Drosophila melanogaster: one gene and its partners. The protein of the gene in region 2 interacts with the protein of the main gene of each other region in a pairwise test. Each region holds a gene or a part of one and is shown on either strand. Other genes may lie near its edges. The genes, in order: CG9467, CG13482, btd and Hr3.

Evidence for each region.
Region 1: the proteins of CG13482 (region 2) and CG9467 interact in a two-hybrid assay, tested with the Drosophila melanogaster proteins (one large-scale study listed by BioGRID).
Region 3: the proteins of CG13482 (region 2) and btd interact in a two-hybrid assay, tested with the Drosophila melanogaster proteins (one large-scale study listed by BioGRID).
Region 4: the proteins of CG13482 (region 2) and Hr3 interact in a two-hybrid assay, tested with the Drosophila melanogaster proteins (one large-scale study listed by BioGRID).

What each region holds. Positions count from the first base shown.
Region 1 is NT_033777.3:9,797,255-9,802,925, forward strand, and holds CG9467 (uncharacterized protein), read right to left. Parts: upstream 3,773-5,671; 5' UTR 3,477-3,772; coding exon 3,415-3,476; intron 3,337-3,414; coding exon 1,206-3,336; coding exon of another isoform or gene 1,035-1,205; 3' UTR 515-1,034; downstream 1-514. Other genes in the region: CG8526 (uncharacterized protein), read left to right, coding at 4,226-4,322, 4,375-4,598, 4,660-5,671.
Region 2 is NT_037436.4:14,327,440-14,330,396, reverse strand, and holds CG13482 (uncharacterized protein), read right to left. Parts: upstream 1,052-2,957; 5' UTR 961-1,051; coding exon 652-960; 3' UTR 512-651; downstream 1-511.
Region 3 is NC_004354.4:9,692,224-9,698,080, reverse strand, and holds btd (buttonhead), read right to left. Parts: upstream 3,896-5,857; 5' UTR 3,408-3,895; coding exon 2,674-3,407; intron 2,235-2,673; coding exon 1,034-2,234; 3' UTR 523-1,033; downstream 1-522. UniProt on the Drosophila melanogaster protein: Required for the development of the antennal, intercalary and mandibular segments of the head.
Region 4 is NT_033778.4:10,231,568-10,236,385, forward strand, and holds the start of Hr3 (hormone receptor 3), read right to left. Parts: upstream 3,041-4,818; 5' UTR 2,646-3,040; coding exon of another isoform or gene 2,307-2,645; 5' UTR 1,745-2,306; coding exon of another isoform or gene 1,214-1,744; coding exon 457-1,213; intron 1-456. Other genes in the region: CG12912 (uncharacterized protein), read right to left, coding at 2,307-2,645. UniProt on the Drosophila melanogaster protein: Putative receptor whose ligand is not yet known.

The DNA of each region.
Region 1 (5,671 bases), on a different chromosome or scaffold from region 2:
TTTAGGTTGAATTTGTGTACAAACTATTTGTATGAACGGCTCGACAATTGCTTCCGGGCGAGGGTGGGTAATCGCTCCAAGTATCTACTCCATTATTATTATTCTATCTCAGTACCAGTGCGTCCTATTTTAGGTAAATTAAAGGCAGGGGTCCCACTTGACGAGCCACTTGTTTAAATTGTTTATTAAGCACACCGGCGGTCGTTAGTGGGTTGTGTTTAGGCCAATGATATTTAAATGGCGGTCGGGGTTGGGTTGGGGTAACTTACCTACAATACACAAATGTATATTATATATATTTTTATATGTTTTGGCGTTTTTGCTGCTTTTTTACTTTACTGAGGTCCGGTATAGGCGTAGGATATCGTATATACACGTATTTACACACACAACACCCACGAGAATGCAAGCCAAGTATTTGTATTTGATAAATGTTAATGGAACACTTCAACCATCAAGAAACTAAGATAAAATGTTCAATAAATTATTGATGACACAACTCGCTCGCTATTTTGATATCTCTTTGTGTATAATTATCTTTATTTATATTGAATATGTATAGCTGTTTACTGGTTGCAACAAGGCGTATCATTATATTCATGTGTGGCATTGCATGCAACAGGACAGATTCGAATTTGAAGCAGTCGCTCTATCGATTTTAATCACAAGTAATCATCTTCAAGGTTGACAATCAACTGATTGGCTGTTTAATGAACTTTCTTTGCTTAAGGCAACCAATCTTATCCAAGCCGAACGATTTCGTATCTGTCCTGATGGAGCACCCTTTAGGAGAGTTGTGCTAATTATAGATGATCGGTTGCAGAAGTCTTATACTCTGGTTTACATGGTTTTAACTAATTTTCATAACTTTAACTAGAACAAAGACAGACGTTTTTTTTTTAAATTACTAACTGTACGATCCAAGTTTGGAGGAGCACAAAAAATGGGTTTACGGGATACACATTGCATTTGCAAACACATCGAGCACATATAATGGAGATTAATTGATTGGGTAAATGCCTGCTGGCAGTTCATCACGGCCCAGTGGCTGGACCGCGGGTGAGTCGCGTCACCCAGACGTAGATGAGGGCGCACACCACGAACTGCAGGAATATAAACTGGTAGTCGAAGATTAAGCTATACCTGTGAAATGTAAACGATGAAACGCGCCCGACAAGCGCCAATCAAGCAGCCGCTTCCACGTCTCATTCGTTGTTGTCGTCAGCCATCGGGATAGCAGCTGCCGGCGCCACAGCCTCTGGAAGAGCAGGTTGGACCTGAGCGGGCGGCTGGACGGCTTGGACGGCCATTGCCATTGCTGGTTCCCGATTTAGCAGGGCTATGTTGCTGGCTTTCATGCGGGCTATGGAGGAGGCCATTCCAGAGCCGTTGCCCATAGCTGATAGACACGGTGACATACAAGGTGTTGTGCATGATGAATTGCTGATTTCACACTGGTCAAGTAGGCGGAGAAGCTCATTGGTGTCGGGTCCGCCATTGATTTTCTGCTGCGGCTCATCCTTGGAGAGCAGCGCCAGTGCAGTGGTTAGGTCCCACATTTGAATAGCGCCGTTGCAGTGACCGGTGAGTATGAACCGGGACGATACCTCGCACTCGAGCACACAGAAGGCCGAAATTGTGGAGCTATCTACGGATCTAATGACGCACACCCGATCACCGTTGGAGGCCAAGCGTACGTACAGCTGATCCGTCTCGGGCACCACCTTTTGCACAAATATCATGTCGTCGTAGTCACCGTAAGGTCCAAAATCATTTCCAGCCGCATAGCTGTAGCTCGTATCGGTAGCTTCCAGCGACACGATTTTGAACGATGCTTCCGGCGTGGATCCCGGCTGGGTGGAGAGCATGCCCCGGAAGCGGGTCAGACGCCATGTTCGCACGTGGTGGTATTCGCTGCACACGGAGACGAGGTATTTCTCCGACAGCATCACCTTCGTTACGGGGCTTTGGTGCACAAAGAAGGTCTCGAACAGGTGTGGTCCATGGCCAGCTGTCTCCGGATGCTGGACAATGATTCGAACCGCTCCCGACTTTGTGCCATAGGCAATTTCAATCCAATTGCCACTTATGCTCGAGGTTTTTGGGGTAAGGTAGACCGAGATGGCCGTGATAGGGTCTAGTGTGACATCTTTGTAGAGCTCGGTAACCAGTAAATCATTGTCCTTTATCCGGAGCGGGAACTTCTGCATGTCTATGTAGTAAATGGAGCCGTTGTTGCAGCCCAGCAGCAAAAAAGAGCCTGCGGAATCGAATGAGAGCACGGGCACTAGGTCCTGAATCTGCCAGTGCTGCGTCATCGCATGCCAGACGCCGATCTTGCCGGAAGATGACAGGGCCACCAGCTGACTGCCGATAAAGAACAGGTACTCCACTCGCACATTTAAATTAAACGTGCCCACATCCGTTTTCTGGCCGCCCTCCTGAATGCTCCACAATCTTATCTGACTGCCGTAAGAAATGGCCACCATCTTGCTGGGCAGTGGCTCTGCTGCGGAAGTATTCACCTTTGAGTTGATGGCGATTCTTTCGATAGTGGCGTCGATGTGGGGCGATGTGAACACCTGCTGCCATCCGTTGGAGTCTTTCACCCGGTAGCAAGTCACAAAGTGTGCGTAAGCCACTGCTATCCAATTTTGGTGCGCCTTAATGATTTGCACTCGCAACGGGTCCACCCAGTTTGAGTTCTGCGTGGGACTGAATACCAGGCCAACTTCGTTTCGAAAGACTTTGTTCAGATCGGCCGAGGAGTTCCGAGAGTGGCGCATAAAGTCAATCGAGGGATTACGTGAGTGCAACATGGGAGCTGGGGGATTGGCACCATTGCCAGTGCTACCTGTGCGACCAAGGCGCAGATCCCATGATGAATTGCGCGAGTGTGAGGAGCGTGAGGGTTCGGGAACGCGCACCATGGACCCAGGACGACTGCCAATCGCACTGGCCGAAGTGGAGGGCAATGACTCGTCAACGCTAGTAGCAGCCACAGCTTCGTTTGACGGCATGGGCGGCGCCGCCAGAAATCCGTAGAACAGCAAATCACCGCAGGACGAGTGGTTAAGGTCTTCGCAGAGGGCCAGGCGCTTGGTCAGCGGCGTGATGCCATAGTACTCGGCCTCATGGCGCAGAGCGCGTATTTCGCAGTTCTTGATGTCGATGTCCTTGGTCCTTAAGTAGTTAAGTATGATCGAGAAGAGCGTCGGATCGCGATCAATAAAGATGGCATTGTGCTCGTCTCTGAGACTCGAGATGCGTCCGCTGAGAAGAGCCGTGAAGAAGGTGTCCGGGATCCACGTAAGCGTTTGCCGCGACGTGGAAAAGCTATGGATAGTGAGATGGAGTTTGCATGCGTCATCAATGCCGTTAGTGGGCCGTAATGTGTTGGTTCTTTGTTCTTACCGCTGACCACCCACATTGAGGTTGACCAGGTCGCTGCTGGAGGCATGCGTGAAGTGGGACATGGCAATCCGATGACCCGCGGGCTGCCGCAGCAGCGGACGGTGGGGATTGCTCTAAATGCGCCTCTATTTGTGTGGCTTCCGTGCTCCCAGCGCTCCAATCAGCAACTGATATGGCGGAGCAGTGGCAGCGGCGTCAGCGGAGCAGATAACTCGCGATTTCGGTACCCAACCCACTTGACGTGCGCTGCGGGGTGCAATTTATTCGATTAACTCTTTGTGCCAGGCTATTTATTTATTTATTATTTGTTGCACTGCACTGTAGAAACTAGGGATGGGCAAATTGGTCGTGACTGTTCCCAGCCATGACGAGTCACTGTTTACGGGGGGTCCCTGTTGCATTTAGTTGTTTTGCTGAACTTTCCACTTTTGATTTTGTATGTGTTAACTCACCAAGGTTTTTGATGGTTTCCAAACAACAATTCATCATTAAAAAATAATTAATATAGAAATAAAATTAATTTGGGCATCAGAAAGTATATGCATTTCCACAATTATAAGCAACGATATTTCTTGTGAAGCAGTGTACATCTCTAACTCTCGGTTAAATTCCCATGCAATACGGTCATACCACCTTTTCGTCAAGCAACGGTTTATTTCGCTTGGTGGTAAATTTGAAAATATTGTAAAGTTATGACTTGTATTAAGCATCAAAACAAAAAGCTCATGGATCTTGCTGTCACACTCTGAGCCTTTGGAACTACGCTTTAGTTTAGTTTCGGACACCACTCAAAATTTCGAAAAAGCCCAAAATGCCGGCGGCGAAGTGCGGTTGTTTGAAGAAGGAGGCTCGCGTCCATGTCATCTACGTGGGTGGAACCATCGGAATGATCCGCAACGAGTCCGGAGGTGGGTATATCAATGGCTCTTGTCCGTGTACTAATCAATTGTTTCTCATCAGTACTGCACACCGCGCCCAAGGTGCTGGCTCGGCAGCTTCAAGAGTTTCCCAGCTGCCACGACAGGAATTACACCAGCAAGGATAATGATGGTCCCATGATGGTGCTACCCGCAGTGTCTGGAGCTCCGTATAGAGTCCTTTACGATTTGATTGAGTTCTGCCCACTGATGGACTCCAGCTGCATGGGCTTCTGCGACTGGAAGCGCATTGCCAACGAAGTGGGAGTAAGTTGAGAGTCGAGGATCATCAGGTTAATACAAAATATGCAACTAACTTTTTTCGCAGAAGACATACAAGTCCTACGACGGCTTTGTGATCCTCCATGGAACGGATACCCTAGCCTACTCCGCCTCGGCACTAGCGTTCATGCTTGAGAGCCTGAACAAGCCCGTGGTATTCACTGGGGCACAGATTCCGATCTTTGAAGCCCGCAGCGATGGGCGGGAGAACTTCTTGGGCGCACTTCTCATAGCAGGAAATTACAGTATACCCGAAGTGCTGGTCTTCTTCGGCAACAAGATTCTACGTGGCTGTCGCTCCACGAAGCTCAATTCTGACTCTTTTCACGCACTGGACTCACCAAATTTTGCACCATTGGGTCGGGCGAGTGTCAACATTGAGATCAACAGCCGCCAAATCTTCCGACCGTGCAATATTAAACCATTTTCACTTCATTCGGAACTCGAAAAGAACGTGGCGCTGCTGCGTATTTACCCGGGAATAAGTGCCAGTGTGGTGCAGGCAATCCTGAAAGAGCCAACGAAAGGTGTTGTCCTCCAGACCTTTGGGGCCGGCAATTTTCCGGTTAATCGTGAGGACTTGCTGGACGAACTGAGGGAGGCGGTTCACAGAGGCGTTATTATTGTCAACATTACGCAGTGCTCGGCGGGCATGGTGGCCAACATTTACGAGACAAGCCAGGGTCTGATGGAAGTGGGCGTAATACCCGGCTACGATATGACTCAGGAGGCAGCCTTTACCAAACTGGCCTATGTGCTGTCCAAGCCGGAGTGGGACATTCCCAACAAGAAGAAGGTGATGCTACTAAGTTTGCGCGGAGAGCTGACCACCAATAAGGTTGCCAAGATTAACGACATTGATCTGATCGAGGGCGTGGCCCGCACATTGCACATGTCGACGGCGATGGAACGGCAGCAGATGTGCTCCACATTCTATCCCGCTTTGGTGGCGGCCGCGGTCACCGAAGGTGATGTCCACAAGTTGGGCGATCTTAAGCAGTACGGCGCCAATCTGTGCGACACCAACTGCGATGGTCGCTCCGCCATGCACCTGGCCT
Region 2 (2,957 bases):
ACCGCAGAAAAATAAAAGCGTTTCGAAATGGGTTTGTAATTGGCAAACATTTTGTTTGACCCACCCGAAGCGAATCTAAGCCGTACTAAAATTATATTTAATTTCATTTGTATTTATCGGCTTACAAACTTGTTTTCGTGGGTGGTCTTGTTTTGTGTTTGTGGTTGCCAATAATCTTCTTATTGGATTAGAATTTCTTGAATTATTAAGTTTTAAAATTATTCTTGATTCCTTTGGCTTTAAAATCAGCTTTATATGTATAGAGAATCGTTCAATTACGTTTTGGTGAAATCTTTGCGTCATGTCAATCAAGATAAGATTAGTTGTTATTTTATACTTTATCGTATGGACATTTGTTAACTAAGTGCGCAGTACACGTATTTTTGGAATGCAGAAATCCATTACGAGTACATACATATATAAAAAATTCTACATGAATTATCATCGTACTTCTTAATTTATTTATTTTTACTTTCCCCAAGGAAACTAGCATTCAAAAATGTCTTTGTATAAGTCTAAGTGGTTTTAATGATTTTTTTGGTTTTGTTTTTTGTACACTTTATGTAATAAATTAAATTCGCTTATAAACACTTTCATTATTTCGCCACCTGATGGCTGTGGTTTTTAAGACCTTCCTTCCATTCCATTGTACTAGCAGTGATGATGATGATGTCCATGGTGAGGACCATGATGATGGTCAAAGTGGCTGCCGTGGTGATGATGATGATGATCGTAGTGGGGCGGCGGTGGCGGAGGTCCGTAGTGGTGGTGGTGGTGCGGCGGGGGTCCGTGGTGGTGCATTGGAGGTCCGTGGTGGTGATGGTGGTGCACCGGAGGCGGTGGGTGATAGTGGTGCACCGGAGGCGGTGGATGATGGTGGTGGTGATGATGTCCACCTCCACCCAAATTCAGGCCAAGGTGGATTCCAAACAGGCGATTTTCGTGATGTGGCGGCGACATTTTGAATGTTTTACTTTTTTTAATCCTTATCAAACTGATATATTCCTTTCGAAAACTGCTCTCGTTGCTTGTTGAATGCTAACTGCCTTTCCATCCGCTGATATGACCAGTTTATATACACATCCCACTTGAACAGCTTGACAATTCAGATAGTATTATTGTTGTGCTGCTTTATCTTATCGAAGGGGGTGTGTATTCGACTGACTCACTGGGGATTCACTTCGATTCTATTGCTAATACTCAAAGTGGGCTATAAAGATAGCAATGTTTTTGTGCAATCATGGATCGGGAATTACTCACCGGACTAATTCATAACATTTAAGCGCTTTTATTCTTTTCATTCTTAACGAATGTAATGACAGTAATAGTAATAGCAGATGTAAGAAAAAACAAAAAGTATTTCGCAGACAAAACATCAATTTGATATTGCAAAAAAAAGGATGCTGACAAATAGATATGTAAAAGGTAAAATAAAACTTTAAGACCCCGCCAACAATAATTTCCGCCTTGTTTGCCAGACGTAGTCCTAAACAAAAAATAAGAAAATACAGTACGAAAGAAGAAAAGCGAGGAAAACCAAAAAGGCACTAAAGACACCCAACACAAGCACAGAGAAAGTGCGAGCAGGAAGGCAATAACCAGAAAGCTTTTGCATGAAGATTGGCATGGGTGGAGGTGTTTATATACCCCCTTTCGACCATTTCAATAAAAAAAATTGCACAGAAAGAAACAATCTCTTGATATAATTTCTTCTTATCAACACTTGCATAATATTTTCGTCTTTAGCTTGACAATCTTATCAGTGTATTGAGTATGAGTTATTTACCATGAAGAGGATATCTCTCAAAATAGGTACATGATTTTAGGGATTCCCTGTAAACTAATGTTAACTTTTCATAATGTTGCTAAAATAAAGTAGCTTTTTTAACTGATCTTATTAATAGAATATTTGATATTTACTGTAAGACTAGAGCCTGCGTACTGATGTAATATAATTTTGAGCCGAGTTATTAAAAACCAATGATTTTCTCAGTGCACCACACAACTCCACATGAAGGCGACTTCAGTGCGTGACAATAACTTTTGCCTTTGAGCCGCCTTAATGGCATGGGAAGGATGACTTTTGGGGGTGTTGGAATTAAGGGATGAGGGGCCACGGGCTGCGGACGACTCTGATAAACTGCGTTAGAAGTTATAAAGCGATTAGAGTGTGTCTGGAGTGCGTCTTGGGAGCAAAAGAGTGGGGTAGACAGAGCGGGCTAAGAGAAGGAAACAACTTTATGCTGTATCAATTTAATGCTTATTTAAAGTGCGACCAGAGGTTTTGTCCTCCTGCAGTTCAGGGAGCTAAAACGATATAGGAAATGAGTAAAAAAGAAGCTGGAAAGTAGGGGGAAAGCAAATAGAAGGGGGCAATGCAGGTAATACATAAATTTGATTTTATGGAGTTGCTTTTCAAAGAACTTCTGCAAAAGTTTGGTAATACATTTTATTAGCTTTGTAAAGAAATCTTTTGGTGGTAGATAAGGCAACCTTGGAGGAAAATAAGAAGAAAAGGATATTTGAGAAAGTTTTAGAAAAAAACTTCGAAGTTTATTAATGAAATTGGAACAATAAATTGAATTTATTGGCAACTTATTATAAACTCATAATAAATAGTAATTTACAAGAAACCTCAGGAAGTCTCAGAGATTTGCAATAAATCATAAGCAAATCATAATAAAATAACATGTCCTTCATACAAATTCATAAAATCTAATTTTATTCTGTAAAAAAAAAATACATTAGCACGGCCATAAAGCAGAGAATATCCCCTTAAAAACTCACTTTAGTGCTACCGTACCGAAAGCTTTTCAGACTTGATCATCTGGCTCATTTTCCCCCGCTGGTTTTGTTTACACATCCAATGAAAATTCCACTTTCAGTCTGGCACGTTTGGAAGGTTCCCCATGGGGAAGCGTTAGGCCACCCCATTCATATTAACCCCTTCTGCCGAC
Region 3 (5,857 bases), on a different chromosome or scaffold from region 2:
AGCCGCTTTTAGTGAGAAAAACTACTATTAAATCACATCCGATTGTTATGAAATTCTACAACTATGTGTATCTTGACTAAATAAATCATTGTATTTAAGGATATATACATATCACATTCGTACCTTTATTTATGCACATTTTAAAGTAAAGCAATCTATAAATGATGTACATCTCCCAAGCTAACAATGTTTTTGCAATTTTAAAGCGATGGCCGACGTTGATGAAATTATAACTAGAAATGCAGACAGCTATAATGATTGCTATTGAAAAAGTTTCTATTATTATCCAAATACCGCCAAAGGTCAGCACCCAAAAGCAGATCAAGTTCGCCGGAAGTCGGGAAGCTTCCTGGATCCCTCGATTTATATGCAAGAAAGCAACCCCTGGCGGAGATCAAACAACCCTGAAATCTAACCAAGCCAGGAACCCATTAACAAGGGTGCGTCGGGATCGGAGAGAATAATAAAAAACTGGATTCGCTTTGTTTTCCGATATTATTTTGTTCGTTTTTTTTTTTTATTGTTAGGATTTCATTTCAGTGTGGGGATTTTGTCGCCTTGGATTTTTCACTTTTTGTTGTTGTATATAATTTATCTTAAAGACAATTAACAATTATTATGGTACACAACTAGATGGTTTCTCTCATTCTATATGGTATGGCTTAAAAAGAACGCTATATATGTTTGTATGTACAGACATGCAAAAAAAAATGCCTTAGCTACTAGATTGGGGGAAAAAAAATGAAAAAAATTCAAGTTCTAGTCTCTACATGTATAGTTAATATATGTGTATGTATATATATATATATATATTTATATAATATTATATAATGCCTTATACGGTATTTTGTGAATTCAAATTTTTTTTTGATTTTCACATTATATTTTTATATCAACAATAAACACTGAAAAAAAAACACACACTAGATTTTCGTTCTACGCTTGCTTTGTTGCCGTTCTGGGTTTTGGGACATTATGGCATTTGTTTCATCAACTTTCAACTGTAACAATTTTGGGAAGGATCGGGGACATCCTAGGCGGTGGCATGTGGATGATAGGCCGCTGCCCACGCATTGTGATGGTGCGGATGTGGATGCGGATAACCGTAACTGGCTGTTCCCGCACCAAAATCAGCCGGATAACTGGCCGCATACTCGGACTTCATGTGGCAACTGGAGCTGGAATCCTGGCTAGCTCCGCTGGCCAATCCGCTCATGGTTAGCCCATATTCCGCCGCCAGCTGGGACTCACTTTGCATGGCAAGTGCGGCATAATGATGCTGGGCCAGCGCCGTGGCTGATGCGGCTGGGGAAGATGCAGATCCAATGGCAGAAACGACCGCTGCCGCTGGGGAACTGGCGCTGGAGGATGAGGATGAACTGGCTGAGGTAGTGGCTGGTTGTATGGCACGGCTGCTGCTACTGCTCCACGGCTGCTCCACAAAGCTGGCCGCCGCCGATGATGTTGTCGTCGTCATCTGCTGCTGGAAGAGCGGCGGCGGTGGCGGCGGAGGATTCACACTCGATCCGGCGGATGTGGAATGCTGATAGAGATTGGCATAGGGCGCATAGTTGACCAGCGGTGTCGTATCCGGCTGCTCCTGCTTGAATTCCACGGGTGGCGTCAGTGGCTTACCCGACTTCTTCTCCTTCTTTTCCAGCTTTATCGCCGCAGCCGCCTGCTCCTTGGCCTCGGCGGCCAATACCTTCTTGCTCTTCTTGTCCTTGAAATGGGTCTTCTTGTGCTTGCTGAGGTGATCGCTGCGCGAAAACTTCTTGGAGCAAATGGGGCAGGCATACGGGCGGTAATTGGTGTGCGTACGTCCGTGCCGCTGCAGCTCATCCGATCGGGAGAAACGCTTGCCGCACGTGAGGCACAGGAAGGGCCGCTCGCCGGTGTGCCAGCGCAGGTGGGTCTTCAGATGCGACGCCTTACCGTATAGCCGTTCGCAGCCCGGAATGTGGCAGATATGCTGCTTGCGTCCGCGCTCATCCGGACCCACAATCGGTGGCAGGCCGCTCATCTCGTTGGTGCAATTGGGACACGTGCAGCGAACGGAGCGGCGTTGCAATTGCGTCTGGAAGGCGATGTCGTCGAAATTGAAGCCCGGATAGCTCTGTGAACTCCATGGCTGATAGAGGCGCTCCTGATGCGAGAACCAAGCGGCCGAGGAGGACATGCCCACCGCATTGCCGTAATAATCGGAGGCGTACTGGGCATATGGAAACTGACTTCTAGATGGAGAAAAGAAATGAAGACAGAGAATGGTTAATTTGGTTTTTTTTAATCATTTACTTAATGGGTACACCTGCTATCGGAATACTAAATTGTAATGTATTCAAGTGGTACCTATCATTTTATAAGTTTATGAGATTATTTGTATGCTAATCCATTTCAATCTTCGGGATAATTTGATTAATATATTCCTATGTATTAAACTGTATAATTTGCAAAAGATATATGTCTTTATCTCGCTCATGATCGAAATACAATCAGCCTGTAGTTATTCTATTAAAAGGAGATCTAATTCAGATCGAAATTAGTGTATCCCTAATAACCACAAATTTGATGATCTATAAGCTTTGATTTATTGATCACTAGCATTTTAAAGTTTCTTTCTTACGAATGATTCCCAACTCAACTTCTGTAAATCCTATATATAGGGATATTTACCTCGCTGGCCCCAATCCGGAGTAGGCGGTATTCCAGCCGTAGGCGGCACTGGCGACCGCCGCTGCTCCAAGGTCCGCTGCTGCCGCCGCAGCTGCTGCTGCCGCCGCTGCAGCCGATGCTGCTGACGAGGATGGTGAGGAGGATGTGGGTGATCCCGCTAGGGCGCCCGCTGCCGCCGTTGTTGGTGGCGCCAAGGTCGTGGTGGGCGTGGATGGACTAGCCGAAATGGAGGCGAATGACTGGGCAGGTGATGGGAAGATGCTGGGCGACACGGAGGCCGATGATGGCGCCGATTGTATGCTGGAGTTGGGCGATGCGGTGCCCGTGGATGAGGCCTGTGGATACGGCAGTTCCAGCTTCATTGGCGGCTTTCCATATAGCGGAGAACTGCCGGAGCTGGAGCCGGAACTCGAGCCGGATAGGGATGGTGGGGCGGACAGCAGGGCGGCGGCGCTGAGGAAGTCATGTTGCTGCTGTTGCGGCTGTTGTTGTTGCTGCTGTTGCTGCTGCTGTTGCTGCTGTTGTTGTTGCTGCTGCTGCTGTTGCTGTGTCAAGTGTTGCATATGCTGCTGTTGCGCCTGCTGATGCGACAAGTGCAGATGATGTTGCGCCTGCTGCATGTGCAGATGATGTTGCTGTTGTTGCGCGTGTTGCTGATGTTGCGCATGTTGCTGCTGCTGCGCCTGATGCTGTTGCGCATAGGGATTTAAGTAATTGCAGGCCGCATCGATCATGTTGAAAACGCTTGCGATTTTAATGTTGCGCTGAGATTTGTTTGGATCCTACTGCTGCGATTGCTGCTGCGTTTTACTGCTTCTGGTTGCTACTGCGTTCGTTAACAATTTTCGCACATTGCTCTTGCACTTATTGATATTCGCTCGTGTAATTATGGCACGCTTTTCACTTTAGTTTTATAATTATAGTCTTTTGCTGCCGCGCACGTAATTGCGAGCACGCGGAGGAGAACACGGAAAAAACACAAACAAATTAAAGGCGGCCGAAAATTCGCCAATGCTGCGTGCAAATATATATATATATATATCCCTCTATATATACAAATCTATATGCATATATATATATATAGATCCGAAAACGAGCGAGTTTCTCTGCTGCCACTGCGGCTGGCTCTTCTGCTTCTTCTTCTTTCGTTCGTAGTGCTGCTGCTGCTGCGCGTGATGTGATGTGATACAACCACCGGTAATTATCGTCGATTGTCGACTGAATTCCAAAACGCGGCGAGAGAGTCTAACAACGTACAAAACGAATCCACTTGGCTGCGGGCAGAGGCGCGGGCAGAGGGCAGCGGCAGCGCTGCTGCTGCTCGTGCTGTCACATTCTCGCACTCGTCTATCGCCACTGAGCGCTGAGCCAGCTCTCGCTCTCTCTCGCTCTCGGCACCATCATGGTGGTTGTTTTTGGCCGCAACGGTGTGCCTTCGGGGCAACTCGCTTCGTCTCGCTTGCACGTGTGGCGCGGAAGTGTCACTCCCGGCAGCAGCAGCCACTCTCCGTAGCTAGCTCACTCTCTCTCTCTCTTTCGCTCTTGCGGTATGGTGCTCTCTCTCCACGTTGCTGTTGCAGTGTTGTTATTGCTGGCGCTGCTGCCGCGGGCGTTTTGTTTTAATTTCTATGTGTGGGTTTGTGTGTCAAAGCAATTGGGTGAGCATGCGTTTTGTTGTTGCTGTTGTTGTTGTCGTTTCAGCTAGTGCTCAAAATGCTTATATTTGTTGTTATTGTTGGTTATATCTAAACTTTAAGCCAAAAATGTTGGCTTAAATTTAATGCAAAGTTTGTATTTAAGAATATGTGTAAATAATTTACATTATTAGCATTTTTAGTGAAGTATTTGAAATATTTGATTAGTGAAGTATTTGAAATATTTTATTATTTAGTTGGTTAATCTATATATTCCATAATTTATGTTTATTTTAACCCTATCAACCCCTCAAAATGTGTATAAAATAAATAACGTATTCACGTATCCTTTGCAATTCAAAATAAAGAGCTTAGCAAATATTTTAGAAAAATTGTATTAATTTTTTTTAAGTCTGCTAACTTAGAGATAGTTTCTAACTACAAATTTAGTTTTTATTTTCAATTTTAAACATTTAAATTTCTCATATAAACCTTAAGTACACACAAAATATAGGTATTGTTACATATATCCGACCGATTTTTAATGCCCATAAATTACTCGACATTTTACACATTTCAAGTACCGTCATTAAAAGCACGAATATCTGCTTAAATTCTCATTATCCCCTTGCCCACTCAGACCATCAATTTGTTTCGATGAAAGTAAGCAGACAGAGAGAAAGAAGTATGGCTCATCACTTTAATTAAATTAAAATTTCTGTTTAATGGCATTTTTCTCCAGAGGATCCCAATGATAAAAAGTAACGTTAGAAGACGAAGAGGGAGCGTGCATAATTCAAATATCAATACAATAACAATAAAAACTAATAAATTTGTGGTCGCGGCCCAATGAAATAACTGTATTTAAAGGGGCGTTGACCAAACACCACCACAAAAGAGACAGCAGCTCTCTCCTTCGCTCTCTCTCTCTCGCATGGCCTGCGCCCGTTTCGTGTGTGCGTGCGTTTGTGTATGCTTGTGTGCCGCATATTAATCACAATTGCTGTTGCTGTTGTTGTTTTCGCTCCCTTTTTATTACGCGGCGTCTTTTTTATTACGCATACGCAACGTGGGTCTGAGCCACAAATTTTACGACTTGCTGCTGCTGTGAAAAGATAATGATGACTCCCAAAACGGAACAAGCTCACGGAAGTGCATCTCGACTCTTAAGCTACCCATTGTTAAGATGAATATCATTATGTAGGGGATTTCTTGGGATAATATGAGATTTAATGTTTAACCAACTGATATGACTCAATACTATTGCACTCCAAGTATTTCTGAGTTTCAGATATATTTTACTATGTGTCAAAAATTGTTAAGACTTTTTTTAATATTGTTCAAATAAACATACAATTTGTTATGGGCTTAAATAAAAGAAAAAGTTGTTGTTCCTGATTTGTCAGTATTATTCGTAAGTGAACAAGTAGTTTGTTACAATACAAACAATTGGAATATTAACTATTAAATATTTTAGAATACATCAAAATCGAGTATGCCCAAGTTGGGCTTTACAGGGTACCAGCCGCACTTCTGGGCAACATGTAATG
Region 4 (4,818 bases), on a different chromosome or scaffold from region 2:
TAATTGCCGCTGCCTGGGATGCTTGCGCAATGGGCGAGCGTTCATTTGCATAGCTCGGATTCTGGCGTGGAATGGGGAAGGGGGAAGGGGGAGGGGATCTGGGGGATATGGGTGCGATTATCTGAACCATCGCTGATCGTTGGTGGTCGCTCTGGGCGAGTGCTCACTGTGCTGTGGTTAGCCGGCGGTTGTTCGCAACAAGTGGAATTCTTGCCGAGTTTTCTGGGGTGCGAACTCATCACTCGCGGGAATCCTTGACTTAAGGTCTTTCAAATATTTGCTACAATCACTCACAATGGCTTAGTAAAATTCTTTAACGTTTGTTAAGAGCAAGAGTGACGAAGAACATTGCTTTTGCATATGAAGATATATTATTGGTAGATATATTATCGTCTCGAACAGTATATATATTCCCAAATTGACTAAAATATAATTGAGAGTTGCACTGGAACATACCTGTCATGGCTCCATTACTGCCGCTGCTGCTGCTGCTGTGCTCTCTGCTGTTTTCTCTGGCCGATGTTGCTGTTGCACTTGCTGTTGCTGCTGATGTTGCTGCGGCTGCAGATGTTGCTGATGTTGCTGTTGTTGTGGCAGCGGGCTTGTGAGTCGTGAGCGGTGGCATTGGTGGAGGAGTTCGCTCCTTTGTGCGTTTTAGGGAGCCCTCCTGGCTGGTATTGCTGGCCATGTTCTTGCACACGGAACTGATATTGCTGATGCTGCTAAAGCTGCTGAGACTGCTGAAGCTGCTGGAGCGTGCCAATGCCGGTGGATCCGATAGGAATTTCACCTGCTGCTGCTGCTGTTGCTGCTGCTGTTGTGGCCGCGACTGTGCTGGCCTGGTGGTCGCCAATCTCTTGGGCGCCGGAGGCTCTGGTTCAGTCTCATCCTCGGGCTCGCCCTCCGCCTTTAGCTCAGCCTCGAGCTCGTTTTCCAAGTCCGGCTGCACGGTGGCTATGATGGTGCCGTCCTCGTTGGCCTGCTCGAAGCAGACGTCCAGCAAGGTGGCTCCGCCACCGGCCTGTAGGCCGGCAATATCCTTGAGATCTATCCAACTGGCGCCCAGCTTATCAGCATCGCTGAGGGGCAAGCTCAGTACTCTCGTGTCGCCCTCGTCCACGATGTGGAAGGATTGCGTGGGCTCGATCTTGACGATGATGGGCTGGTTGGCCAGGATTTGGGCGGGTGGCGCACTGCCCAGCAAACTGGCCATGTTCTCCTCCTCCTCGTCGGCGGCCTCCAGTTCGCTGAGCTGCTGCTCGATCTGCAGGTAGGTATTACTGCTGGAGTTGGCTGCCACACCCGACTGCTGCTTCAGTACGTCCAGTTTGAGGACCGTGCACTTGTCGGTCTGCTGGTACTGGTGCTGCTGCTGGGGTCGTGGCAGCAGTGTCAGGGCGGGAGCACCCGATGTTCCAGAACCTTCCGTTATAAAGGCCAATGGTGGAGACGTGCCCGTGGATTTGGTGGACACACTCCGCGACGACTGGATCAGCTGGGGCAGTGCTGGCGGTGCTCCTCCACTGCCGCCAGTGCCAGAGGCACCGCTACCACTGCGTGCCACAATGGTGGTCGAGACGGGCAGCGGGATTATTGAGATGGAGGGCACCTTGCTGCGCAGATTGGCCACCGCCGCTGCTGTGGCGGCATCGGTGCCGATATACGTTGGACCACCGCTGGAGGATTTGCTGCCGCCGGCGGGCTTGGCCTGCTGTATCAGCAGGAGATCTCTGGGCCTATCCGTTGTGGCGGCCGTTTACTCACAAAGGCTCTCAAATGTCCGGATTTCGCCTTCGCTTAAAACACTAAACACTCACACTTTCACTTGGTTCATTGCTTGAATTTCTTGGGTTCTTTTATGCTTGTATTTGTTACTTGTTATATTTGGTTTTTTTTTTGGGTGTAGAAGCACAACATCGAAATAAATTGAAAATCAGCCTTACGAAAGTGCACTTAAAAAATTGTCGACTAAACAAGTTCATTCATACTGCATTGCCTCGATTGCTTGTCAATTGGTGTAGATACCCCAGAGGGGGTGGCCTAATGAGGGGCTGAGGGTTCGAAAAGGGGGGGGAGTGGGCTTTTAGGGGCGTAGTGGGGTCTGCAGATGCACCTGTGCGTTTCGTTTCGTTCGGTTCGTTTTTGGTTCGTTTTGCAGCTGGAAATACGCGTCGTATACTTAACGTAACTTTGTGCGATGCATAGAGTTCGACATTCCGATTAATGCTTTCCACTTGTGTTGGTTTTTGAGTAAATTTTGGGCTAGTCTTTTCGGTTTTGGGTTGTGTTTAACTTTACTTTACTGCCTAATATGCAGCAATTGTTGCTGTGCTTCGGTGACTGAGCCTGCTTCTGTATCTGTGTCCTCCGCGTTTGCCTGTGGTCGTTGTCATCCTCGTTTTCGTATCCTGCTGCTGCTGCTGTTGTTGCTGCTGTTGCTGTTGCTGCTGCTGCTGCTGCTGATGTTGCTGCTGCTGTTGCTGTTGCTGCTGCACATGCAACGCGTCGCCGCTGGATGGCTGCAAGGCTGCGCTGCAGCATTCGGTAGTGTCAGCGCCATTGGAACCCGACCACGTCAAAACAGTTGGAAGTGTGCCTCTGGATCTGGATGTGGATGTGCCAATGTTGCTGTTGATTTCCCACATCGCGGCACGCAACCCTATGCAACCACCACCCCAAGCACCACCTCCATCCTCACGGCAACAACAACCACCAGCTGTGTGGAAAGTGGCTTTAATAATCGATTTTTCAGCGGCACACTTGCGAATCAATATTTGGCAAACAGGAGCAGCGCTGCAGCTTTCCCTTTTCCTAATCGGATTTCTATCCCTTTAGCTTCGATATTAATTAAGCACTGTGTTCAATTTTGTTTCACTTTTGGCTGGTTTGTGGATTTCACTGTTTCAATATTTGTATTTTCACTTTCAGAGATTTGTGGCTAAATGCACCGCGCGCGTTTTTTTGTGACTCCTTTTTGTCGATTTTGCGAAGCAGCTGACCGGAGCTGCGTCCTTTACAGGAATGTGTCCCAAATTCGAGTGCCACAAACACAGTTCGTTCTGCCGCTGCACAAACTTTCCGTTTCGTGGGGGTTGCGCCTCAGTTTCTGGGAAAAGGAAAATCCGAGTGTGTGTGTGCGTGTGTATCCGCATGCAAGTTGAAAAATGGGACTCGCTGCGAACTGCTGCGAAAATAGGGTTAGTAGGCATAATGCCAAGTGCATAGCCAGGAAAAACTGGAAGCCACAACACGAAGGAAAACGAGCACAGTCGAACGAACGTTTGTTGCGCAGCTTTTCCACCCCTAAAACTCTCAGTGGGGGCGGGGGCGGGCTAAGGGCCAGGAAAATTCCCGTCGTGGTGATAAAGCGTCATGGGAAATTTCTGCACGCTCGAGGTGGAAATTCCAAGGGCGGAAAATTTTGAATGAGTCTTCTGGGCTTGACTTTCGACATTTACTCAACTAACAACTGAAACTGCCATTTATAATATTTGTAAAAATTCATAAAATTAGTTAATAAAAAATCAACTATGATATATATTTTTATATATACATGTTTAAAAAGAAACATATTTGGTAAACAAATATTTTCTTTTGTTATGCATTTAAATAGTGCATAAGATATGTAATTCATGGTTAACCCCTCGTTTATAAACCAAATTTGTAGAACACGGATAAACTATAGATGCAGTAGTAAGTCATTATATATACGAAGTCTTGTCTACTACAAGCTGTGTAAAGATAATATACATGTATTTATAATTATATAGTATGTATATAAAAAGCTTTAAAGTGTCATAAATAGTATGAACATTGGCACATATATATTTTTAAATGAGTCATAAAATGCGCATTTTTAGTGCTCTCAAAACTACAAGAATGCACTAAAATGTTAAGCTCGCTAATTAAAGCTGCCAATGCCAATTTGGGCAAAAACCAATCAAAGAACAGCTATGACCACAATGACCCTCGAGTCAAGAATGCCCAAAAAAAGGGGCGAACCGAGAACATCTCGGCCATTGGCCAACAGACGGGGCAAATTTGAACTAATCGCCCAACTGGGCCCCAGCCCAACCGATCGGATCGAGCCATCATTAGGGCGGGGAGGGGAGTGGGGGAATTGGGTGGCATAGGGCCAAACTTCTTATAGAGGAGGGTCGATGATGGCGAACGGAGCGACCACCGTTAGGACGGATTCGGATTCTGATTCGGAGCCAAGACTCAAGCATCGGCATTAATATTTCATGTTTTTCCGTTGCTTAAATCATGTTAGATTTATTCTGCGCCGCATTCAGCTGCCGCTTGCGCAACAACAATCAAGAGCTAACTGGTAACTGGTAACTGGTTGGTGGTTCTGCCAACCAGCTTACTAGCAGCTTGCAGCTAAACTTGGCTAAAACACCGTTGGTTCTAACGTGAACGCGAAATGTGTGCCTCACCGTTGTAAACTTCTTGCGGCGGCTGTTGCCTCATCATCTATTGCAAGTCTGTGCCGATTCTAACCTGTTTTCTCTGCAGAAACTCTCCGAAAAAGTCCCGTAAGAAAGTCCCAGTTATTCAAGAGGAAAAACCTGTTACACGCAACTGGCTCAGAGAGCTGATTGCCAAGAAAATGGAGACGGAGAAAAGCAAAGAACAGAACAGAATCAAAAAGAAGCCAGCGTATAGCCACAATAGCAGCAGAAACAGCAAACACGTTAGTACCGTTGCCTCGGATTCTTTGTTGCGCAACTGTGTTGCAAGATTAGCTGCGACTTCCAACTGGTTTATTGCAGCCCCACTGTCGATGAGGCAACAGTTGGCCGGGCCATTACTGTT